4 linked regions of the Arabidopsis thaliana genome follow. The protein of the gene in region 2 purifies or fractionates together with the protein of the main gene of each other region. This does not show direct contact. Each region holds a gene or a part of one and is shown on either strand. Other genes may lie near its edges. The genes, in order: Fes1C, SAE2, AT5G15400 and SAE1B.

Region 1 (4,129 bases), on a different chromosome or scaffold from region 2:
CACCAAAATTATTCTCTAAAGAATAATTTCTTCAGATCTCTTACAAAAACAGAGCACTTAAAAAGAAAATGATTTACCGATAACTTCGAGGCCACGGAACGGGAACGTCTTCGGATCTGTTACGAGATAAAGGAGTTGAGGGAACGGAGCTCTCTGTTTGGCTTTCTTCATCTTCCTCATCGAACGTGTGATACAAATCTTCCCTTTCTTGATCGAATGTCTCGTTTTGCTTCATCTACTTTGTTTGTATTCTTCTACTGTGCTCTGTTTCAAAAACCAACAAAAGGTCTAAAAAGAAGAAGAAGAAGATTGAGAAGAAGCAACTAGGGGACGCAACGAAACGTGTTCTGTTTTCAAGTTCTAAATTATTGTCACGTTTCTTTATATTCTTTAATTAGCAGTCTCCTTACCTATGATGATGTCTCCCTGAATTTGTTTTTCCCCATAATTTAAATGTATTAATGAACAAATTCACGATTTTCCCATTATTCCACCAATAAGATAAATTTAATAATGTCCCATTATCCTATCACTACTAAATCTAAGAAACTTCAAGAACAATTCAAAGAATCTTCTACTCTGACGCGTAAGGTTCATTTACAAAAAATTTAGTTTTTATACAATAATACTATTTGCTTGAAAAAATATAAAAACGTTTCTGGCGAGGTTATTTATAAAACACAGAAATAGACACGTAATGAAGATTAGTTGATATGCATGTGATGTAAGAAGCCAATGACAGTTGGGTCATTAATTGGCCATTAAATGTTCATCTCTAATTACTTATGCAGCAGTTAAATTTATTTTTTGTTCGTTTTATTTTGGTAGCTGAGCACCTTCGTCTATAACTGCTTAAAAACTTACAATAATACTCAGACAATTTCTTACAGAACAAGAAAGCAAAGAAACTTACACATAAAAAAGCAATTGTATATATATATATATATATATATATCCACCCATCTCCAAGCAACCATTGATCATTCCAAGCTATCTACTTTTGCAGAGGTATATTGTAGAGAAGAAGAGGAATGAGAAATGGAGCTTTTTACATATATATGAAGAAGACTTATGATTTATCAATCTGGTTAAGCTTTCCGAGTCCATTGCAGTTAGCACAAACGATCTGAGGAAGATCCTTCCGTGCGGCGTTGGCTCTCAGAGTCACTCCTCCTTTCCTCACAAATCCTGCTCCGTCACATTCCGGACACCTAAACCACACACATTTCAGAGCTTAAACTCACAATGTACAATCTCTGATTCAGTTTACTACATCGGCTAAGAGTTTATGTACGTTTTCAAAATCCATAACAGAGGATTTAGTCCGGTTAAGATAATTCGAATGTTGAACCGGACAATAAACTATGATAATCTGCAATTGATCAGTCAAAATTTGGTTTAACGAGCATTAAAACCGGTTTAAGTCACAAGGTAAAAAGATGAGAGTGGTTTACGTGTCTTTGCGTTTGAAGAGGATCGGGAATGCAGTTCCGACGAGTGCAACGGCGATGGCTCCGCCGATTAAGTAGATTGTTCCGTCAGAAGAGACATCACCGACGGCGGCGACAACTACGGAGGAAGAAGATCTCTTGTTTTTGGGAAGAATCACATTGTTCGGTGATGGTGATCCCCACGAAGAAGAATGTTTCAGGAAGTTGGTTGATGACACGAACGTCGTCTGCAATGCCGGTGCGATCGTCATAATTTAGGGTTTTAAGTGACTGATTTCGATTTGGGGGAAGTAATAAGAAGAAGTGATTTGATTTTTATGGAAAGGTTTTGAATTTGGATTTGCTTCGTGACGTGTCACTCTCTCGAAGTGGATAACGTTTTCACTTGGGATTTTTGGGGTTCTTCAGTTTTCTTTTGTGTGTGGATAAGGTAGGCCCCTTCAAGATATTTCGAGTTAACAATTGGGCCTGTTAAGCCCATTATTAAGTTAGCGTGAACATAAGGCCCAAACTATTTGTCATTGTCTCTGACTCTCTGACCTTCGCAGAGTCTTTCTCTTCTTCCGTTGCTTCAATGGCGAAAGACGGACCTAACTGGGACGGTCTGCTTAAGTGGAGTCTCTCTCACTCCGATGGTACTCGACCTACTTGCCAATTAAGGTACGAAGTTTCTTTGTAATTTCAGGTTTTGTTGGTCACTTAGTGGAGCTTATGTTGTTTGTTGGGTTGTTTTAGAAATTTGCGTGGTTCTGCGTCAGTTTCTTATGAGGAATGAATCATGTAGTGGAATTTGACTATTTGATTTGGTATTGTTTGGTAGATGGTTTTTGATGATATGAAATTGTTTGGTTAGACAGTGAGGAGGATCGAAAATGGTTTGCAGAAGCTATGCAATCACAAACGGTAGATGTAGTCAAGCGGTTGAAGGAGATTACACAGGTATTGCAGACACCTCAACAAGTTTTGGAGGCTCATGAAGTGACCCCTCAAGATATTGAAGGTTCAATATGGAGTTCACTATTGTTTTCTTAGCTATTTTCTCTCTTGTTGGTTACTAAGATTTTGAGTTATGATGATTTGGTAGGTTTGTTGGATGAGTTGCAGGAACATGTTGAATCGATTGATATGGCTAATGGTGAGTCTTTTCATACTTTGACCTTGTAACTTTGTTCTATATCTGTCTTTTGATTGCTGGGCTTAACTTGTACTTCTTTGAATGTATGGGCAGATCTTCATTCCGTTGGAGGCTTGGTACCTCTTCTTGGCTACCTCAAAAACTCCAATGCTAATATCCGGGCTAAGTCTGCAGATGTTGTAAGCACAATAGTTGAGAACAATCCTCGGAGTCAAGAATCAGTTATGGAAGCCAATGGTTTAGAGTCCTTGCTTTTAAGGTTTACTTCAGACACCGATATGCATTCTCGAACACAGGCTCTCGGTGCAATATCATGTAAGCTGCTCTGAGTTCTATCCTATATACTTAGATGGTCGAATGCCTTTTTCAAAAACAAAAATGTCTATCGTAAATCTGATGAATGTATTGTGGTAAATTTGGGGTACAGCTTTGATTCGCAATAATAAACCTGGGATCACAGGTTTCCGGATTGCAAATGGTTACTCTGGTTTAAAAGATGCTTTGGAAACTGATAGTGTGAGATTTCAAAGGTAATAATACTCTTCACTTTTCTTCATGCTTGGATTCCTCTGAACTTTGAGAGAACACAAAGTTGTAACCTTTGTTCTGCTGTTGTCTAACTTTCAAAACTTTTGTCATTACTTTCTCATTCTTCAGGAAAGCTTTAAACTTGTTGCATTATCTTCTACAAGAGAATGACTCAGACTCCGATATTGCTATAGAATTCGGGCTTCACCATTTGATGATGCACCTCGTGTCTAGCTTCGATGCTGATGTAAGAGAAGCTGCTCTTCGAGGATTGCTTGAGCTCGTGAAAGCTAGAAAAGACTGTAGTACTTGTGGTTCTAGCATAGTGAAAGGCGATGAGAGACTCAGACAGATTCTAAAAGATCGGATCAAAGCAATCAGCCGGGTCAAAGCAATGAGCTTGTTTATGTCACAAGAAGATCTATCAGCCGCTAAAGAGGAGAGGCAGCTCTTAGATTCACTATGGACCACAATCTTCAACGAACCTTCTTCTCTTTAGAGACAAAGATACAAAGAGACAAAACCGTCTGTGCTTCCTTATATCATGAGTAAGCACTAAAACCGTCTTTTATGTCTTTGGACCCACCAGCTAAAGCTTGTGTCTTTAGAACACTAGTTAAAAGGATGGTAACCACTGTATAATGACCAAATTTTGATTCTATTTTGAGTTCAAATTTTCTCAGTTTCTCATTCAATGACCTAAAAACAGACCGTACAAGTACCAAATCAAGCTACTGCATGATAAACATAACATAAAAATCAGAAGCCTCTCACTTTGGAGGACAGAAAGTGATAACATAACGAGAAGCTCTACACTTATTCAAACTACTAGAATCATCAAACGCATAACTATAAGCTTTAGGACAAATCGCTTTAAACAGATTCGCGAACAGAGTCGGCTTACACGCCTGAGGATTCGCATATTCACCGGTGCAACAATACTTAGCCGATTGCATCGCCAAGCAAGCACTTTTACAACCAACCACTTTCCCATCTCTCTTAACTTCCAAAGCTG
Region 2 (5,981 bases):
CAAGAGGCTTTTTCTCAGGGTAAAGCTGAGGCTGAGGAGGTTGAGACTCCCAAGCCTGTGGCTGTCCCTGCTGCTGCGCCGACTTCACCTGCTGCCACCACTGCTGCAGCAAGTGAACGTCCAGTTTCTCAGACTGAAGAGAAGGATGACTCAACGGTGGACCAACACTCTGGAACCACCATGTTTACTCAGTTTGCTAGCCTTAACGGAAGATAATAAACTGATGAAGCATTTGCACCAAACCAAACGGTGTGAAGAGTTAGAAAAATGAAACATTGATCCTCTTGAGGTAATCGGATTTGTTGTATAATTTGTAAGGTAAATTTTTTTCTTTTTTTTTTATCTTGCTTTGTAACGGAAATGTATTCTACAGCGGTGTAATAGGTTATTGTTGATACTTAGTTTCAAAAAACAAATTTTCAAATAAACTGTATGTAAATCTTTTCATAATCAACCGATTCTTTAGTCTATTAATATTGAAAAAGTAGTTTGAGATTTCTTAAACAAAAAAAAACAAAAAAAAAAACAGAAAATTTGATAACTCGAAGAAATAAAGATACAAGGGAGCTCTTACAGTTAGTGAAAACATAACAGGAATCTCTGGAAAGCAAAAATTGCTTCCTTAAAATGAGTTCCTGAGCTCCTCATCCAAAGGATCCTGTCCTAGTAAATATTTAACAATCTGAGTAGTTTTCTTCTTCATCAAAGAATCCCTAAATCATACTTTGTAATTCTTGTGGCATAATTTCAGAAAGTAGAAAGTTAGATCGAAGTAAAAAGAAGCTAATAAATAAAGCAAGCATTTAGGGATCAGATCTTTCAAAAAAGGGGCCTATTCAACTCTTATCTTCTTTTTGCTCACCATCATGGGATTTTCAACCTCCATGATATCATCATCTTCACTCTCGACGTTCTCTGTTTCTTTCTTATGATTACTGGCCTCGGTCTCAGAGAGTCTTCTCTTCTTAGAAGCAGGCTCGGATCCTGAGGAACTCTCTGTAACATCAACTGGGTTCTCGTTGTTTGATGTTGATGCGCTCTCGCCATTGGTAGCTGGAGATGGTGTCCATCCAGAGAGTACCATTCCTTCAGGTTCTTTTTCCTCGTCAAATTCTTCCCTGTGACAGAACAGAATAAGTAAAGGATGCGTTAAACGTCTGCCAGTTTCAAACATGGTAAGGACTCTCCTAATAGTTACATTTGAGAATCCTAGGATGATGTCTAATGATAACCCATCTTGATTTCGTGATTCAGTGAAATGGAAGAGTTTAGGGAAAGTCGATGGTAATATAATCAGAAACCAAACTGAATTTAAAACAGGATTCAAAATTTCAGAAAAAAACCTGTGCTTGACATTTATCTTGCAAGATAGCTCTTGTTGAAGATCTTCGACTGTGAGAATGCTTCCGTTAAGAATGGGAGAAGGAAGTTCTGATAGATACTGAAAAAGATTACAAGCATGTGAGAAATTGCGATATCTAAACCTGTGTTTTAATTGCAAATGGTAGAACAATCAAGACCAAACCTTCTCAAGATTAGCGTTGTAGTTTGCAACCATAATATCATCAAGATCATCGCCAACTTCATACAGAAGCGAATTCCCGTGCATAATCAACGGTAGGTTCATTCCAAGCTTGGTTTTCACAATTTTATCAACTAGATCCCGTAGTTTTGATTTCCGAGTATTGATCTCGAGTACTAATGGGGTCTGTTGATAAAAACCACAAAGAAAATCAGATGACTGGTAATACAAGGAAGCTTATGAAAGAAGGCTAAACAACAATGATGTGTATACCTCGGAACAGACATAGCAAGCAGGATTAGGTTCATATGGCTCGATTGGCATAAGCAGCAGCTTTTTGCTTGGGTGTTCTAAGCAATATGTCATTCTAGAGAGAACAAAAATGATTTTTAAATAGATATCAAGAACGCTAAAACCTTATGAAACACAGACGATTTCAAAGTAACAAACCTGAACTTGTCCACATCCTTTTTCAGCACTTTGATTGCTTCAATGACAATTAAACCAGCAATAATGGCGTTGGTCGTAGCAACAGCATGAACAATGTTTCCAGCAATACCTTTCGCTTCAAAAAGGCTGTGCAAAGGAATTCCGAAAGACTCAGCACGGATATTTGCAGCAGCAGTAACAAATTCTACAGCTAACTGATCATCTTTGTCAAAAGTAAGGTGTCCTATTTCCTGTGGCAGCATATCGATAAAACCATGAATTAATCAGTGCACCGAAACTTATCTATAGACAAGGAGAGTTTACAAAAAGGACCACACAGACCTTCTTTCTCTTGGCGAAGAACAACTTCAATGCTTCTATGAACACAAGAGAATTCTGCGTTAGACCCCACAATTCCTGTGGATTCTTCAGGCCAAGCGATGGCATGGCAGAGACCATTAAATCACCATCAGTAACAGAACAATTCTGAGTGCTTCCATTTTGTTGAGTCAGACTTTCAGGCAAGACATCCTTACTGTATATAGGCCTTGGTCGTCTGCGATTTTTCCATGTCTCTTCATTGGACAAAGCCGCTTCAATGTTAGAACCAAACACATGATCATATATCTTCCTACCATACTGCTCAATATCTTCATCTTCTGAACGTTCAAATACATCTTCTGTTTCTTTGGATGAGCTTGCAGAATTGTTGGATCGCACATTAAGATCATTATCTTGATTCTTGTCGCCAAACAACTTTGCAAAGAGCAGGTCTTTTGCCCATACAATACAGTGCACAAACTGCAGAATCAATTCAAAATTCATCGGCACATCAAAAACAAGCTCTATGCTTAGGATAATACTATATAAGCCAAGATAGAATATAATTTCCCCAAGATTCACAAAAATTTGGAACAAACAAGACAGTGTTAATACCTTAGTTGGCGTGCTGGTTATTGTACACACAGGATAAGTCTTTGGAGCAGGTTTGGTTTGGCACTCATAACATTCTGTTTTTCCCTTTATATGCACAGTTACCTGATTTTTACAAGCAAGTATTGCAAAGTCAGATACGAGAGAAATGACAACAGTACACCATTCAAGCCTAACATTGTAGTGCATCTAACTCATAGAATAATGATAAGAGAAAGAAGAGCTGCAAGACCAAAAGGCAAGCAGAATAACCTGTCCAAGGAAGCCCGTTGTCCCACTTTCTACAAGAGGAACATCAGCTGCAAGACAAAGGCGATTCACATGACGCCTTGCGTCCAAGTTGTCCAGCCCATTCAGAACAACATCAAATTGCTTGAAAAAATCAACATCAAACTCGGGATTCTTCACATTTGCATGGTATGATCTTATATTAATGTTAGGCCTAAATCTCAAGACTGCATCTCTGGCAACCTGGTGATATGGTAAAAATATATTAACTCTTATGAACTGGCTTTCCTTGGACTTAGCTCAAGCAAAATTACCTTAGCCTTAGACTGCCCAACATGAGAACGACGGAATAGAAATTGCCTATTCAGGTTACTGACTTCAATAGTGTCCATGTCAATCTGTAACACAAGAGTTCAGTAACTTAATCACGGTTACAAACTAATCTTATAAGTCCCTGCTCTATTCATACAGAAATCCAGTAGGAGCACAGGTGAAATCCGATGGTTTCTGATACAAAACATCAATCATAAATCTACAAAATCCGAAAATTAAAACAGAAGCAATTCATGCACACCAAATTATAAATAGCCTAACTAGTCTTAGAAATTACACTAAACCTATTGGCGAAGACAGCTAAACAGAGAGTCCTCCTAGAGACATATGATTCCATCTTCCAAGTCAAACTTAACTTGATCTAAAAGCTCAAAGATGTTGAAATTACTCAAATCATCAATAACCCTAAATGCCAATCAAATCCAGTAGCACAATAGGAGATTTGAAATGCTTAAACTTTCGTCTGTGACCCAGAATCTCAATAGAGAAGAAGAAGAAATCACAAGTTAAGAATACTAAAAGTCACGAAAACAGAAAAAGTGGAAAGAAATTGAGAAACTTACAATATGAATGTCCTCGAATCCAGAAAGAGCAAGAGTCTTAAGTAACTCGCAACCAATCCCACCAGCTCCAACCATAAGCACTTTCGCGCCCTAAAACCAAACACAGGAGAATTGAAAAGACTTCAATTTGAAAACACCCCAATAAAAAGAAGCTTAAGTTCACCTTCAGAGCTTACTTTAATGGCGGATTGCTGTTGTTGCGTAGCCATGGCGGAGAAAGTGAAAAGACGGAGCAATACGTTAAACGACGATTCAGAAGCAGAAGAAGGAGAACTGGGGGATTAGAAAAATTAAAGCTTTTTAGGACTAATGAATTGAAATCGAAAGAAATTAGGGAACAGAGAAATAGTAGCGAATTTTGATTTTCTAGGGTTTATTGTGGAGGGATTTGGGAAATTTGGAAGAAAGAACAAAGGAGAGAAGAGGAAAAGAGACGTCTCTTGGAGAAAAAAGAGTCACGTGGGCTTTTTTGTGTGTAAACTTGTTAGTTTCCTCTTTCGAATATTTAGTGTAGTTGACTTTTTTAATTCAATTCGATTCGAGTCAAAACAAAATTTTGATTCGAGTGAATTTTTATTTTTTATGTAAACTTATGTTTGAAAAACATTAATTAAAAAGATATATATTTTTTTTCATATAAATGTCTTTACACCTTCTTGCTCAATTTAGTGATGGCTTTTAATTAGTAGTTTGATCGGACTCAAGCCTTTTAATTTTTTTCTTTTCAAATTTTATAAACTATCTCTACTGATGGATTTTTTTATATAGAGTTTATAGCTTACGTTAGGTTAAGTTCTTGATATTTGTTTAAACTATCTCAATCATTTGCTAAGAGTTAAAGCTTAATTCAATAAATCTAGACAATGACGTTTTGATAAAAACAAAACACGTTTGTTTTGTTGAATTTGTAGTTTATTTCAGTCACGACTTTTTGCTTGGTTGATGGAATGTATATTCAAGTAATGCTTTCTCTGGTTTGATGAATTCCTACAATGGATACTGAATGGAAGCATCGTACGTCTCTCATGGTGTAATGTTCTTTCTTCATTGTGTGTTGAATTCGGTGTGTTACCTCTTCTTCTCTGTCATGATACTTAGAGCTCTTTGCCTTGTGTTTTATCATGCCCATTGGGTTCTCTGGTCTTTAGTATTTCCTTTCTTCAATAGGTGTTTATGTAATTCCCTCGGGATGATACTTGTAATTGACTTTAGGGTTTAGTTTCACTAATTCATTGGTCGTTAGTCACATACGACTAATGTATGTGCTTGATTCTCCTTCTTTACCTTGATGCATTCTCTTGTGTTGATTACTCTAATAGCCCTAGTTAGCTCATTGATTGTTCAATTTAGTTTCCAATTTTGAATCATGTTATGCATTTTATCTCTTTGTTTTGTAGTCCTAATTACCTGTTATTGGCTTGCATTTTATCTCGTCTAATTGGGTTCTCCCATATTCAAGACCTTAGTGTTTATTGTCATTTCTTGAATGCACATTTATGTGACTCTTTGTGTTGATCTTGTAATTCGCTTTGGGGTGTAGTTTTACTAATTGATTGTTTGTTGCATTATATACACATAGGTGTAACCTAGATTATTAAATTACACTTCCTCATAAATAATATCCATTTCACTTGATATCATGTTGTGAAGTGATCAAAATGGATTTAGTAGGATTGGTGCTTGTGCACTCTCGACTTCTTTGTCTGTAAAGCCTAGTATCCATCTGAGTGTAACTAAAAAAGAATTCATTTATACCAAATATCGTTAGCTTAATTGGTAAAAACCCTAGGTGAAGCTTAGAGGTTGCCGGTTCGAGTGACGCTTGAGACTAAACTAATATTATATGCTGTGGTTTCAGATTTGGGAGGATTACGGACTTTGACCCAGAATCTCTGGTATTCAAAAAAAAAAAAAAATGATTTCATTTCATGAACCAAATACTACTAATGTCTCGGTGGTGTATACACCCAAAC
Region 3 (7,863 bases), on a different chromosome or scaffold from region 2:
ACAACACTCTACCTCCTCCTAATTTTGAAACCGTTGTCTTATTCTCTCGCTGTTTTGCGTGTTATAGGCTTCGAATGACGCCTATAAAAACTCTTTCGAACTCTTTTTTTGGTACGACGCTTGCTTCATGTACAACTCTTAAATTCTATAAAAGACATCCTTCTGTCGAACGTATTGCCTTTTCAATCGAGTGAGTGGTGTTGATTTCACCATTCTTCTGCATCGACCTCACGCCATCAAAGATTAAGTTAGAAATTTCGCCTTTCAAGAATTGGTCACTCATAACTCTTATGCCAACTAGTAATCCATGAACAAACGTCGAAATGCATAGAAACTCGTGAACACATCGAACTTATGATAGAAACAGTTCTAGACATGATATTTATAAGTTTTTTTCCCGTGGCATCAAATAAGTGGAAAGCAAGCCCTAAAATAGATAGATAAATCCTAATAGAAAAGAAAGCCTAGCAAAAGTAAAAAAAAAAAGTCCTGAATAATTGTTATTATTTTGTTACTTTTGGAACACATAATTAATCAATTAACATATCACTGTTTGTAGTCTGTATCCTTTCCTTGTTGCTGCTATCTTCTCCACTTGTCCGTTTCTTAGACTGATGCGACTTCACAAACTCATCGATTTTCGCCTTCAACTCGATGTCCGGTATCAACATATCCGATGTCAAATGTGCTCGGTTAAATGGATCATGCTGCAGCAAAAGTAAGAGGATCATATACAAAGCCAAAATCTTCAGAGAAAGAGAGATGTGACTGATCAGTGATCATCATTGTGTTAGATAAGCTTACATTGTCGCTGAGAAGATGACGTTGAATGATGGGACGATCAACTGTGATTCTTGAGCTTGGAAGTATTACTGGATCTCTCATTAGCGTGTACTGCCAAAAAAGAAAAGGAAAAGAAAAAAACAAGAACAGACATTAGTGCATGGTAATAAGACAAGATTTAGGTTTAAATTAGTGTTTCTTTCAACAGATAAAGACCTGAATTGGGTCAAGGAACTCGTCTGGTATTTCCCCAAGTGCAGCTTCAGCATCCAGAGCTTCAGAAGCAGCAGCTTTGGCTTTTGTGCCTAACTCCATAAACTCTTGAATGATTCTTCCCTCTTCACCTATTCTCCTAAGCACATCTGCTCCTGCATTGAATAGCTGCAAAAACGGGCACTTGTTTAGTTCAGTAGAGACGCATCTATTATTATGAAAGAGGATTTGGTTTAGAAAGAAGGATCTGACCTGTTCATTATATGATCGGCCATCACTGGAGATGGCACCAGGGAATATGTTTACTGTGTCTCCTCTTGCGAGATTAACATATATGCGAACGATCTTCAAAGTTCACAATCATATCAGTCAGTTTTTTCTCACATACTTTGATCAGGAGAATTGAGTAATTGTAATCACTACTAACCTGTTTAAGTAACTGTTTTGGACGGAATTCATATTTCTCAGGATCTTTCAGGCTTAAAGATTTACGCTGTGGACCCACGAGTTGTAGCAAGAAGTAGTTAAGCATGTTGGCAACCCTCTCAACCTAAATAAGTGCAAACAAACAAAGAAACTCATCAGTTGGGTAATCATAGGGCAGGTTATCATTTCAGGAATATGGTCAGGTACCATCTCAGGGAGTAGGAAAGGGGCAGTGATCTCCTCGGATGTAAATGCAAGCATAGTCACATCTTCATTTGCCAGCTTCATGTCGATTCTAACAATCTGCAAAGAAAATCAAAGTTCTTTATGGGATCGGGATTCGAGTACGAAACAAGATATAAGAAGTGATAATCCAACTAACATTCTCCTGCGAATGGAAGAGTCTTGTTCTCTCCTGTCTCTCTTGAGTTGGTCTCTGCTCCCACTCTGCAGTATTTGACATGTCTGCCTCGATTTGTTTAATCTCGAGAATTTTGTTTAGACTTTCATCCAGAAGATAGATGCTATCATTGACTAAGAAGTTTAAGAAGTTCAAGTACACGCCCTTCTCTTCGTCTTTTGCAATCTGTAACACATCAAATTTGGAAAAACATTGGAACATGATAGTTGAAGTTCAAAGTCATGGCAAGCTCACTAAGAATTTACCCGTCTCCATGCATTTCGGTGACTAGGCACCTGCCAGAGATACTCTAAAAGCTCGGCAATGTTGTGGCGAATATTGAACTTGTCATAGAACTGCATTTGGATAACTAGATTTCAGTTCCAATAAAAGCAAGAACAAATGGCTATTCTGGCTTCCAGAGCTAACATATTCTCAAGTACAATGCAATAGAGAGAAGTTCATTACTCCAGGAATATTATAGCCACTAAACAAAATCTCTTGCAATCACCTGAGTGTGTGAACCCGTGAACTCAATGTCAACATATAGTTTCAGTAAATTCCTGACAAGATACTCGAGCGATAACTGATGTCCCTCAAAGAGAGTAGATGTAGCAGAAGAAGAACTACTGCAGGAAAAAAAAAAAATTAGAATGGTGGACCACGTTACTGCAGAACTTGTTGCATTAGCAACACAAATTGACAAATGTACAGCTTTCTTTCATGGGAAGAAAAACACCTTGAACGAGGCATCCAGCAGTTCAGAACTTCAACCATCTTTGCTCTGAGATACGGGTTTCTAACATATTCAGGACTTGCCATGAACATAATTATGAAGTTCATAAAGTCGTCCTTAAGAAAAGAGAACAACCATCATCAGTGCAAATACAAAAAGAGAATTTCTACAGACTGATGAGAGCAAACTAAGCATACCAGCGGCACCCCGTCCAAAGCTTTGGGAATTCTTGAAGCGAATATCAGCAACTCCATTGCATCTTCAACAAAATGCTCAGGCATACAGGAGAATTCCATAGGGCAAGTTGACGGTAGAGGCATCTTAAAGCCACCGACTAGTCCAACTAACCAAACAACCATTAGGCGATAGAAAGACAGAGCTCGCTGAATAAAATCTCCATCCTTCAATACAGTATAGAGATAAGGCAGCTATTACTATCATGTTACCGGTCCAGAGGAAAAGCCGAAGATGTTATCAGAGCAGAGAATATGATTACAAACCCTCAATATTTGGGCCTCATGGCAAAGCTTTTCCTGCGAAGACAGCTCTAGTTCTTTTTCCATTCGGGATATATCAAGTTCCAACTGTGGAGAAGGTGCTTGATCTCTCATGGCTTTTAGCGTTGCAAGATTATCTTCACCTCTCGAGATGTCCTACGTCATGCGGAAAAGAAAAAGTGAAGAACCATACAATAACAATCTTCTGCAAATTCAGGAATCAATGACACTTTCACAATGTAAACATGTGACTAAGTTCAAGTTTTTGCTATAGTCCCTTCTCGTTTTAACTAACAAACGCCTTAATAAGACAATATGTAAGGAACCAAATCAAATAAGAGCTTTCTGCAAGATAATTTATCACAAGTCGTTTTTTTTTCCAAAAAATCTTCAATATTTCCAGGACGGGAAAACTGTGATGATGATTACCTGAGCAAGATGTTTAAAGTCAGAGAGTGCTTTTAGGAGACCCAAATTGAGGACCCTAGCAGTCATAAAGAAGCATTCACAAATGAAAGTGTATTTAGTTGCTGACTTTGCATTTTGCCCAGAAGCATTACTACTAGAACTTGTGGCTTCTTTGGATTGTAACAAGCGACTTTCGTTCCCATTTTCTCGCCCAGCATCATTTGCGTTTGCCATAGCATCTTTGCCAATCCACTCAGTAACTTCTTCGGATGATGCATGGAGAGCGGTCAAGTCGCTGGTGTGGATCATAAATAATATTGCTCATCATGAAACTATTAAAATCAGTGAGGAAATACAAGTAGAATCATCTTGAGGACCATACCTTAATTTTAAGCGATGGCCACAGAATGCGTATTTTGGATCAATCTTATCCCTTTTCGTTAAATGTGGGTCTAAAAATGGTTCACAGAGCCGGAGCATTACTGCACTAAGGTTAACAAACATGCCTGAGCTAGCACAAGAGACTGGATCAACCTGTCATACAAGATAAACATATTACAGAATGCTGATTTGAGCAAAAAAGACAAATACCAACTTGATAAAACCGAGAGGAGACAATAGCAATTCATGAATAAAGATCCGAAGTATATATGCATCTTATAAACGGATGATTACCTGTATATGGGCTCTAGACGCATTTGCATTGATCACCTCTGCAAGAAACTGTAGAACACGCTCACGGGTATCAGTACTTTTAAGTAAAATCATCAATACATCATGCAGCCCGCTGTACAAAATGTTCATGAAATTTTTAATCGTGGAGAAGGATGATAATAAATCTGCGGGACGACGTTCCGATGCTTCAGAGAAACACTGCTGCCTGATATTCACAAAAACAATAGACATATATCAGCATTTTCATAACAGGTAAAGTATATCCTCTGAGGTGGATCAGGAAAACTCTTATGTTCGCACAATTAAGCCTTGTCAAATACTAAATGGACAATCAAGATTCTTCAGTACAGACCAGAAAAAATGCTCAAAATAATGGATTTCATCCACAATATTCTAACTTAACATAGTGCTTACTAATATTTCTGTTGGTTTCGCCTCTACTGATCATCTAACTATGCTAAATTTATATAATCATGCTTAAAATATGTATACAACCTAACAGTGGCATCATATATAAGCCAAATATATCTGCTTTTTTCCTTTTTTGATCAAGTCTCTCTACTATGAGTAAAAGCTAATCAATAATTCTTACTATCCAAACTTTCTCAATAAGAAAAGAGCCCCAAAGACTACATGATTCTCAGTAATAGAAACCCATAAATAAGTTGGAACTCACCCAACATCAGGTTGACTCTTGAATAGTGTATTATCTGGCAGCGCACTAATATGGAAGAAAGGCCCAAGAATGCTAGTCAACTCCATTGCTCGGCCGTTCATATAGGCACCCCGTGGAACCCACCACTCATGACTAACCAGAGATTTAGCTCCTACTGGTAAGCTAACAAGATACTTGAGTGCCCTCAGTGGTGGCTGGAAATCTCCAAGCACTGATACATTTATAACCGTAGACCTCAAATCCTCATACAGCTCCTTTAGAATCGAGTCCAAGCTATCAAAATCCGAGTCTTTGAAAAACTCATCCAAAAACCCAGGAGGAGCTTGAACCCCACTGCTACTAGCTCCAAACATATCCAACGAACCAGAACCAACCTCAGCAAAGATCAACGGAAGAACCGGAGAGACATTCCTCTTCTTCAACCTATTATCCAATCCACCACTAGGTTTATCCGAGTTCCCAAACATGTCAGGATTCCCCAAGTGAATCCTACAGTAAGAAACAGCAAGCTTCTTCGCTTGTTTAGTGACAATCTCCATCTCCGATCTCAGATTCTTATCCTTCATCGACTGGATTTTCTTCGATTCGTCGTAAGCACGACGGTGGCAACCGATTAAATACGGGAAAGGCGGTTCGGCGTCGGAAAAGTCGCCGGAGAGACGATCTATGAGAACTCTCTCCATCAAATCACGAGAAAGCAAAAGCTCTTTACCTTCGCTGAGAATCTCAGCGGCCGTCATCTCCAAGTAAACAATACGAGGATCGGAATCAGTTGATTCCGTTAGGGTTACATAAAATATCTTCCGGAGGATTATATCCTCAATTTCAGCCGGCGATCTTTGAGGTTTGCTCGTCGCCATTGATTTTACGAATCAAATCAAACACTCGAAACTCGATTTGAGAGATAAATATAAGAATTTTTTTTCTTAAACTTGTATTACCGATGAATCAAAAGCGAAAGAGTTTGGACTTAGCAATTTAAAGTATAATTAAATTTAGAAAAACTAAAATTCACGAAAGAAGAGAGAAACCATGGCGAGAGATTTGGAAGAACTTTCTGGGAGTAGGTTTTTGTTTATGAACTCTTTTGGAGTCTCTGAACGAGCTTTAGCAAGTCCTGAGCTTGGACAAAAAGTCTATATAGGATATATGCAAACGTCGTACTTACTAACGACGTCGTTTATACTTATTAAGACAATTACTTTTACTGCTAATAAAAAATAAAAAATAAAAAATTACCAAGATAAACTCCTCCAAGATTTTGTTGCTCAAAAAATCTACTTTGAACTTAACCGTAAGAGGTTGAAGTATCATTCCAAGAAAGATTTTTTAAAGAAGTAAAGGTAAACAATTGAGGAGGAACAATGAACACACAATTATTTGGACCGATATAAAATTGGAACTTTTTATTATTATTCGAGATGATCATGCGGTCGAATGGACATGAACATAGCTGCATACTGAAGTAACCGGCGTTCACTGTTACCTTCAATGCTATTCTCCGACACAGGACTCATCGAACCGCCGATGTTTTCACCACGGGTTCTTTTCCTACGCCGGCGCCACGCCATCTGAATATTTACCGCTGCCCACGTCCTCCAGTTTGAGGAATAGTATCTTGCGGTCCGCTTAAGCCGCTCGTTCGCGAATTTATAACGGAAATGATCGGTAATGTACCTAAGATCTTCGGATCCGAGGGAGAATGCCTCGATGTTTTCTAGGCAGACAAATGTTGCTGAGGAAGGGGGAAGACGGTCCAGAAACGGGCGACGTAGGCACCATGAGAGTAGCTCGTCGCCCAAGTAACCGCCTGGTTCTAGTGTACTAGTGGCTAGGACGCCTTTGCTTAGGCTCTGTATACGTTTGACTCGTCCACGCATGATGAATATCATTCTCTGTACAGGATCTCCTTCACGGATGATCTGTGACAATCAACAAAATCGAAGAACCTCAGATTTTACTCTTCAAGTAAACTCTTAAACCGAAACCGAAGCAAAATATTGGAAATATAAATTTTTAGAAATGATGGGATGAGTACCTTTTCGTCTTTAGAGAAGACTCGAGGCTTAGCCCGATCGCAAATGTTGTCGAGGATCAAGTCGTCCATGCCCCTGAACAATGGCACCTGAGAAAGATCAAACATGTCAGAGACTTAACACTTACTGCTTTCACAAGTCTTAACAAGATTGTATAAAGTCTGCTTCCTAGTACCTTGTTAATGAGATCAAAGCAAAGATATCGTTTGATATCTCTTCGAAGACCCGGAGGCAAATCATGTATAAGTTCTAGCTCGTCTTCACCACCCAAGGCATTCCATCTCTGCCGCTCAAATCGCCTAACCCTCTGTCTTAACCGGGAAGGTAACTGCCTACGTTTCATCCACCATTCCATATCCCTACACCGTATCTGCATTTTCCTTTTTTTCGCCATTACCGCATGCAAAAACACCTTCAAAATATTGTAAAGTAAAAAGCTTTTTAAAATCTTACATTCCATGAAAACACAATATCATAGAAAAGACATATTCTTGCATAGTTTACCTGAATGTTTCCTATCAACAGCGTGAAAAGTAACAAGCCACTTAGAACCATAACTATACTGAAAATAACCTCGAGCCAGTTGCTTGTGGGCTCAAGATCATTCGCAAATGTGCTGTAAAACGCGACCCCCAAAACAGATTCAGTATGTCAATCAGAGAATTTTTTTATATCCAAGATGTAAACCTTAAGCTCAGAAACAAAGCAATTACCTGAGAGTCATTAGGCCCCAGAAGATGGGGTAAAGGATCTTAACCGCAAGAGAGTTGCTGGAGATGACTGGAAGTGCCCAACGGTAGATACCATATCGGAATGGTCCGTTAGAGTCTAAGCACATAGGCTTATTGACCACACTGGTAAGGTTTCCAGATAAGCATGGATATCCAACTGTGCTTGTCGGTGACACAAATTGGTAACAGACCTCTTCTTTGCAAGCCAGACTCAGATTGCAGTTCCCGGTTCTCATACATTGTTGTCTTATGCAAGAAGCAACACGCTGTATTGCGAGAACA
Region 4 (4,498 bases), on a different chromosome or scaffold from region 2:
AAGATTGTGCTTTTTTTTCTTCTCTCACTATAAAAACACATACATACACAACAGCAATCAAAGCAATATCAAGATTTGTCCTTTTTGATATTGGTACTCTAAATTTAAGAACAAACAGCAAAAACAACTAGTAAACATAAAACCCATGAATCTTTAACTCAATTAAACTTCAACTTCAATACATATGAAGGAAAATAAAAAAGCATAAGCAAAAAGCAAAAACACAATTATAAAGAGTACTCTGAAATTGTAGTTGAAGCTCTAACAAAATGATCTATTTTGATATTGAAAAAAAAACAAAAAAAAAATCCCAAAAAAGGCAAACTAATTGTACTGAAAAAACGAAATGAGAAGTGCAGAAACATAGAAACTAGAACAGATCCCACAAAATGGGAAGAAAGGAAAACAAAAAAAAAAACAAAAAACTTTTTTTCTGTCTACTCAATTCCAAGCAAGAATTAAAAAAATGCAATAAAAATGAAAGATTAAAGTAAGATTATAAACATGTTATTACATTAAAAAAAACTATAGAATAAGAAAAGTTTGTTGTTTGAAGGTTGAGAAATCTTACCAAATCCATACACCTACCAGTAGAGTCAGTAGAAGAAGAAACTCCAAAAGAGAAAGATGAAAATATAAAAAAATGGGACAAGTGAAAAAAAAGAAAGAGAAGATGATGGAGTTTAGCAAGAGAAAGTGGAGACAACAAGTGTGGCTGCTACTTCAATAATGCAAATAAGAGAAAGAGGAAAGAGAGAGAGAAATTGATGATAATAGCTATTACTAAGTTAAGAAATGATTTACTTACTTTAATTGTAACTTTACTTTCCTGATTTAGGGTTTTATTGATATCATTTTTTAAAAACTTTGAGTAAGAAAAAGTGAAGAAAAGAATGGAGGAAAGTGACAGCTGTTGTTGATTGTTCTTTTGCTTACTTTTTCAACTTTTCTTTGTTTATATTTTTCTCTGCCATTCATCAATTCTGAACTCTGAGCATCCGATTTTTATGAATGAACAGAGTATACTTTTGAAAATTTCAAATTACTCATAAATCTTGTATCTTTTTACTGACCCTTATCCAAAATATATTAGTTTTCAAATTGTGATATAAAATAGATGTGGTTTTTTCTTTTTTATAACTATGATGATGATGAAAATGAAACAATAAATTGGAAAGTGATACTAAAGAAAGAGGTATAGGATGCTTAGTTGTTTACGGCAAAAAACATAGCATGTGAATGTTGTGCTTCGCATTACACAACATCTTCTTCTGTTTTTTTTCTTCTCTCTTTCCACCGATACGCGTTATTTTCTTTGACTTTCATAGTTACGGGTCACACAAGTTGTCAATTATCAGGGAGAATCGTATAAAAGTCTTCCATGTCTTTAAAAGTTTTGCAGATGGATTTAAAAGATTTGGGGTCCAAAGCCCATGTTTCATTTGTTTCGGCCCATAAATTGTCCTAAAAAATAACAAATTGGTTATTTATTGAATGCACAGTTGTTTTGAATTTAAAAATTTGTAGTTGACGAACCGGACCAAACCAAAACAAACCATGTAATTTGAATAAATAAAAAGAAAGCAATTTTCCGGTTAACAAAAAATCTCAAACTCAGTGAGTGAGTCACCGAAAACCTCTTGTAGTAGATTCGTGACGGGTTTGATCATCTCTTCGAGGTCGGTTCTAGGGTTTCACTACGAGAATGGACGGAGATGAGCTCACCGAGCAGGAAACTGCTCTTTATGACCGTCAAATTAGGGTATGGGGAGCTGGTGCTCAAAGAAGGTACTTCACATTGAATCTAACTTCTATGGCTTCAAGCAACAACAAGTTATTGATTTTCCGTTTGAGTACTAATAAACTCTTCTTGTTGGGCTATACTCGGTGAAAGTTTATCTCTTTCTGGGTTTTAAGCTAATTTAGCTGTTGAAATTTTGATTAGGGCTTCTCTGAATTTTGTTTTGTGTTTTTGCTTGCAGATTGAGTAAATCTCATGTTTTGGTATCTGGAATTAAGGGCACTGTTGCTGAGGTACCTCTTACTTTATTTTGTGACTCTCTATTAGCTATGTTGCAGTAGAGTGAGTGTTGGCATCTTACTTGGTTTCCTCCATTTGGTGTTGCAGTTTTGTAAGAACATTGTGTTGGCAGGAGTAGGTAGTGTGACTCTGTTGGATGATCGATTGGTTACAACGGAAGTCTTCAACGCAAACTTCTTGATTCTTCCTGATGAAAATGCTTATGTAGGCAAAACCGTAGCTGAGATTTGTTGTGATTCACTTAAGGATTTTAACCCTATGGTTCATGTTTCAATAGAGAAAGGTTACTCCTCCTTTCTTCATTTCTCTCTAATTTTAGTAGAAACAAATGATTTTAGTAACATCGAGTCTATGTCTTCAATTTCAGGTGATTTGTCAACACTTGGTGTTGATTTTTTCGAGAAGTTTGATGTTGTGGTTATCGGCTACAGTTCTCGTGCTACTAAGGTACTGTTGATACCTCCTTCTTTTAGTTGTTCCAGTTGTTTTTGTCTTTTGTTGCCATGTAGATTGATCACTTGAAATAATGTGCTTTGTTATGCAGAAAGCAGTTAATGAAAAGTGTAGGAACCTAGCAAAAGATGTAGCGTTCTATACAGTTGATTGTAGAGGCTCATGTGGCGAAATATTTGTCGACCTTCAGAATTATAAGTACACAAAGGTACTCATCTCGTTTTTTTCTTTTGACGGTTGTATATCACATGCCTTTCTTTTGGCATATAATGTGTTAACTTTCTTTCTCTATTGTCAATTTTGGCTTCATAGAAAAAGCTTGATGAAACAGTGGAATGTGAACTAACATTTCCAAGTTTTGAGGTACAACAAACTTAACTTCTTACTTTCCTGGAACATACTTTCGCATGAAAAGTAATAGAAATTCAATCTATTAACTGGTCTTATTTCTCCAGGAGGCAGTTTCAGTACCGTGGAAACCGATGCCAAGGAGAACAGCAAAGCTCTACTTTGCAATGAGAGGTCTGGCTAACAACAACAGCTAACCTTTTGAAAGCTTGGTTTCTTCCTACGTAACTAATCCGGTTTTGTGATATTCTTGCAGTGATAGAACTATTTGAGGAAACTGAAGGACGTAAACCTGGGGAATGTTCGCTGTCTGATCTCCCAAGAGTTTTGAAACTCAAAAAGGAACTATGTGAAGGAAATGTAAGTTTCTTTAACCTTTATTTGTAAGCTCTACAATAATAACGACAAATAACAAACTTTGTCACTCACTTTGAATCCGAATGTTGCAACAGTCGGTCAGCGAGAATCATATTCCAGATATCCTCTTGGAGAGACTCGTATCTAATAACACAGAATTCCCACCGGCTTGTGCCATCATTGGAGGGATTCTAGGACAGGTACAGTTCTCTATCTCGCTTCTCTAGGACTTTGTTAGTTATCTAGATTAAGCACTTAGCAGAGTAATGTGACTCAAAAAAGTTGTATTTGTACGTACAGGAGGTGATAAAAGTTATATCAGGCAAAGGAGAGCCGTTGAAGAACTTCTTCTACTTTGATGCAGAGGATGGGAAAGGTGTAATCGAGGACCTATCCCACAAGCTTTAACTTCCAAACATGAAAGGTGCTGTGAAACGCTGCTCTTAGTAATTAGTTCCTTGTTGAAGATTGTATTGGAAATTAGACTTTAGAGTACTTAGAACTTGGCTCCTTGTCTTTTGTATCTACTAACTTGGTTCGCTCCTAAAGACAATCTGTAACCCACTATTTACTTTAATCCATCAATTTACACACTCCTATCTATGTGAAGGTGTTCTATTTTGTCCGGAAATTTTCGATTTCGGTTTCTGGCTCTTTGAGTGGCATCTTTATAATATAACAAACAGCAAAATTTGACAGTCTATAGTGAGTTTTGTTATGGTTCATTGCTTAGTGACATTATTTGTTGTTGAGGGAGGTTTCAAACCAATAGAGATGAAAGTGGAAACTTCTCCACAAGTTGAGAAAAATATTTGATAAAAACATAAGTTGGATGAGGACAAACACAAAAGATACCAAATAATGATTTGGAGATTCTCTTATCCTTAATCTTAAATACTAAAGTCTATGACAGTGACATCTGAACAGAAGAAAGCTCAAGAGTATATAAATTGTAGCTTAGCCTCTGGTGAAGCAGAATCACAAAGTCAAGGATATGGATTTAAACAACAAGATCTTTAACATCCTTCTTCCTATTGTCACGGTTTCGTTTCTTTTAGTGTTCATGCCATTTTCAATATTCTTCAAGCTCCTCCAGTTCATAAGGGGATGCAAAGAGTCCGAGAAAGTCAACGGAAAAGTCGTCATCATCACCGGATCTTCCTCAGGAATTGGCGAGGTTAGTTTGTTTGTAATCCTAGAAAAGCTTGGTCTATTTTTTATAAATTGGTTAGTTATTTGGTAAAAAACAAAAGCAATTTGAAGTTGATTTAATGGTGTAGCACCTAGCGTATGAGTATG

Evidence for each region.
Region 1: the proteins of SAE2 (region 2) and Fes1C fractionate together in Arabidopsis thaliana (co-fractionation; one large-scale study listed by BioGRID). This does not show direct contact.
Region 3: the proteins of SAE2 (region 2) and AT5G15400 fractionate together in Arabidopsis thaliana (co-fractionation; one large-scale study listed by BioGRID). This does not show direct contact.
Region 4: the proteins of SAE2 (region 2) and SAE1B fractionate together in Arabidopsis thaliana (co-fractionation; one large-scale study listed by BioGRID). This does not show direct contact.

The regions. Positions count from the first base shown.
Region 1 is NC_003076.8:423,965-428,093, reverse strand, and holds Fes1C (Fes1C), read left to right. Parts: upstream 1-1,715; 5' UTR 1,716-1,881; intron 1,882-1,977; exon of another isoform or gene 1,978-1,999; 5' UTR 2,000-2,025; coding exon 2,026-2,111; intron 2,112-2,304; exon of another isoform or gene 2,305-2,308; coding exon 2,309-2,451; intron 2,452-2,535; coding exon 2,536-2,586; intron 2,587-2,679; coding exon 2,680-2,901; intron 2,902-3,013; coding exon 3,014-3,116; intron 3,117-3,243; coding exon 3,244-3,613; downstream 3,614-4,129. Other genes in the region: AT5G02170 (Transmembrane amino acid transporter family protein), read right to left, coding at 78-235; AT5G02160 (uncharacterized protein), read right to left, coding at 1,070-1,211, 1,455-1,702; AT5G02140 (Pathogenesis-related thaumatin superfamily protein), read right to left, coding at 3,657-3,813, 3,889-4,129.
Region 2 is NC_003071.7:9,196,988-9,202,968, reverse strand, and holds SAE2 (SUMO-activating enzyme 2), read right to left. Parts: upstream 4,376-5,981; 5' UTR 4,218-4,375; coding exon 4,185-4,217; intron 4,099-4,184; coding exon 4,009-4,098; intron 3,511-4,008; coding exon 3,427-3,510; intron 3,356-3,426; coding exon 3,137-3,355; intron 2,990-3,136; coding exon 2,888-2,989; intron 2,753-2,887; coding exon 2,294-2,752; coding exon of another isoform or gene 2,285-2,293; intron 2,203-2,284; coding exon 1,973-2,202; intron 1,890-1,972; coding exon 1,796-1,889; intron 1,709-1,795; coding exon 1,526-1,708; intron 1,442-1,525; coding exon 833-1,441; 3' UTR 519-832; downstream 1-518. Other genes in the region: AT2G21480 (Malectin/receptor-like protein kinase family protein), read left to right, coding at 1-216.
Region 3 is NC_003076.8:4,997,234-5,005,096, forward strand, and holds AT5G15400 (U-box domain-containing protein), read right to left. Parts: upstream 6,021-7,863; 5' UTR 5,675-6,020; coding exon 4,815-5,674; intron 4,344-4,814; coding exon 4,139-4,343; intron 3,998-4,138; coding exon 3,846-3,997; intron 3,759-3,845; coding exon 3,485-3,758; intron 3,212-3,484; coding exon 3,059-3,211; intron 2,960-3,058; coding exon 2,756-2,959; intron 2,675-2,755; coding exon 2,562-2,674; intron 2,452-2,561; coding exon 2,334-2,451; intron 2,179-2,333; coding exon 2,089-2,178; intron 2,009-2,088; coding exon 1,805-2,008; intron 1,726-1,804; coding exon 1,630-1,725; intron 1,547-1,629; coding exon 1,424-1,546; intron 1,342-1,423; coding exon 1,249-1,341; intron 1,165-1,248; coding exon 1,000-1,164; intron 895-999; coding exon 805-894; intron 708-804; coding exon 531-707; 3' UTR 256-530; downstream 1-255. Other genes in the region: AT5G15390 (tRNA/rRNA methyltransferase (SpoU) family protein), read left to right, coding at 1-22; DND1 (Cyclic nucleotide-regulated ion channel family protein), read right to left, coding at 6,227-6,736, 6,853-6,939, 7,026-7,262, 7,355-7,466, 7,564-7,863. UniProt on the Arabidopsis thaliana protein: Ubiquitin-protein ligase that may function as an E3 ligase in conjunction with specific E1 and E2 ligases. May also function as an E4 ligase mediating the assembly of polyubiquitin chain assembly on substrates monoubiquitinated by another E3 ubiquitin ligase.
Region 4 is NC_003076.8:20,583,795-20,588,292, forward strand, and holds SAE1B (SUMO-activating enzyme 1B), read left to right. Parts: upstream 1-1,554; 5' UTR 1,555-1,705; coding exon 1,706-1,788; intron 1,789-1,982; coding exon 1,983-2,034; intron 2,035-2,128; coding exon 2,129-2,324; intron 2,325-2,408; coding exon 2,409-2,488; intron 2,489-2,585; coding exon 2,586-2,702; intron 2,703-2,806; coding exon 2,807-2,857; intron 2,858-2,949; coding exon 2,950-3,016; intron 3,017-3,098; coding exon 3,099-3,202; intron 3,203-3,294; coding exon 3,295-3,399; intron 3,400-3,499; coding exon 3,500-3,607; 3' UTR 3,608-3,967; downstream 3,968-4,498. Other genes in the region: HSD4 (hydroxysteroid dehydrogenase 4), read left to right, coding at 4,194-4,376, 4,480-4,498. UniProt on the Arabidopsis thaliana protein: The dimeric enzyme acts as an E1 ligase for SUMO1 and SUMO2. It mediates ATP-dependent activation of SUMO proteins and formation of a thioester with a conserved cysteine residue on SAE2. Functionally redundant with its paralog SAE1A.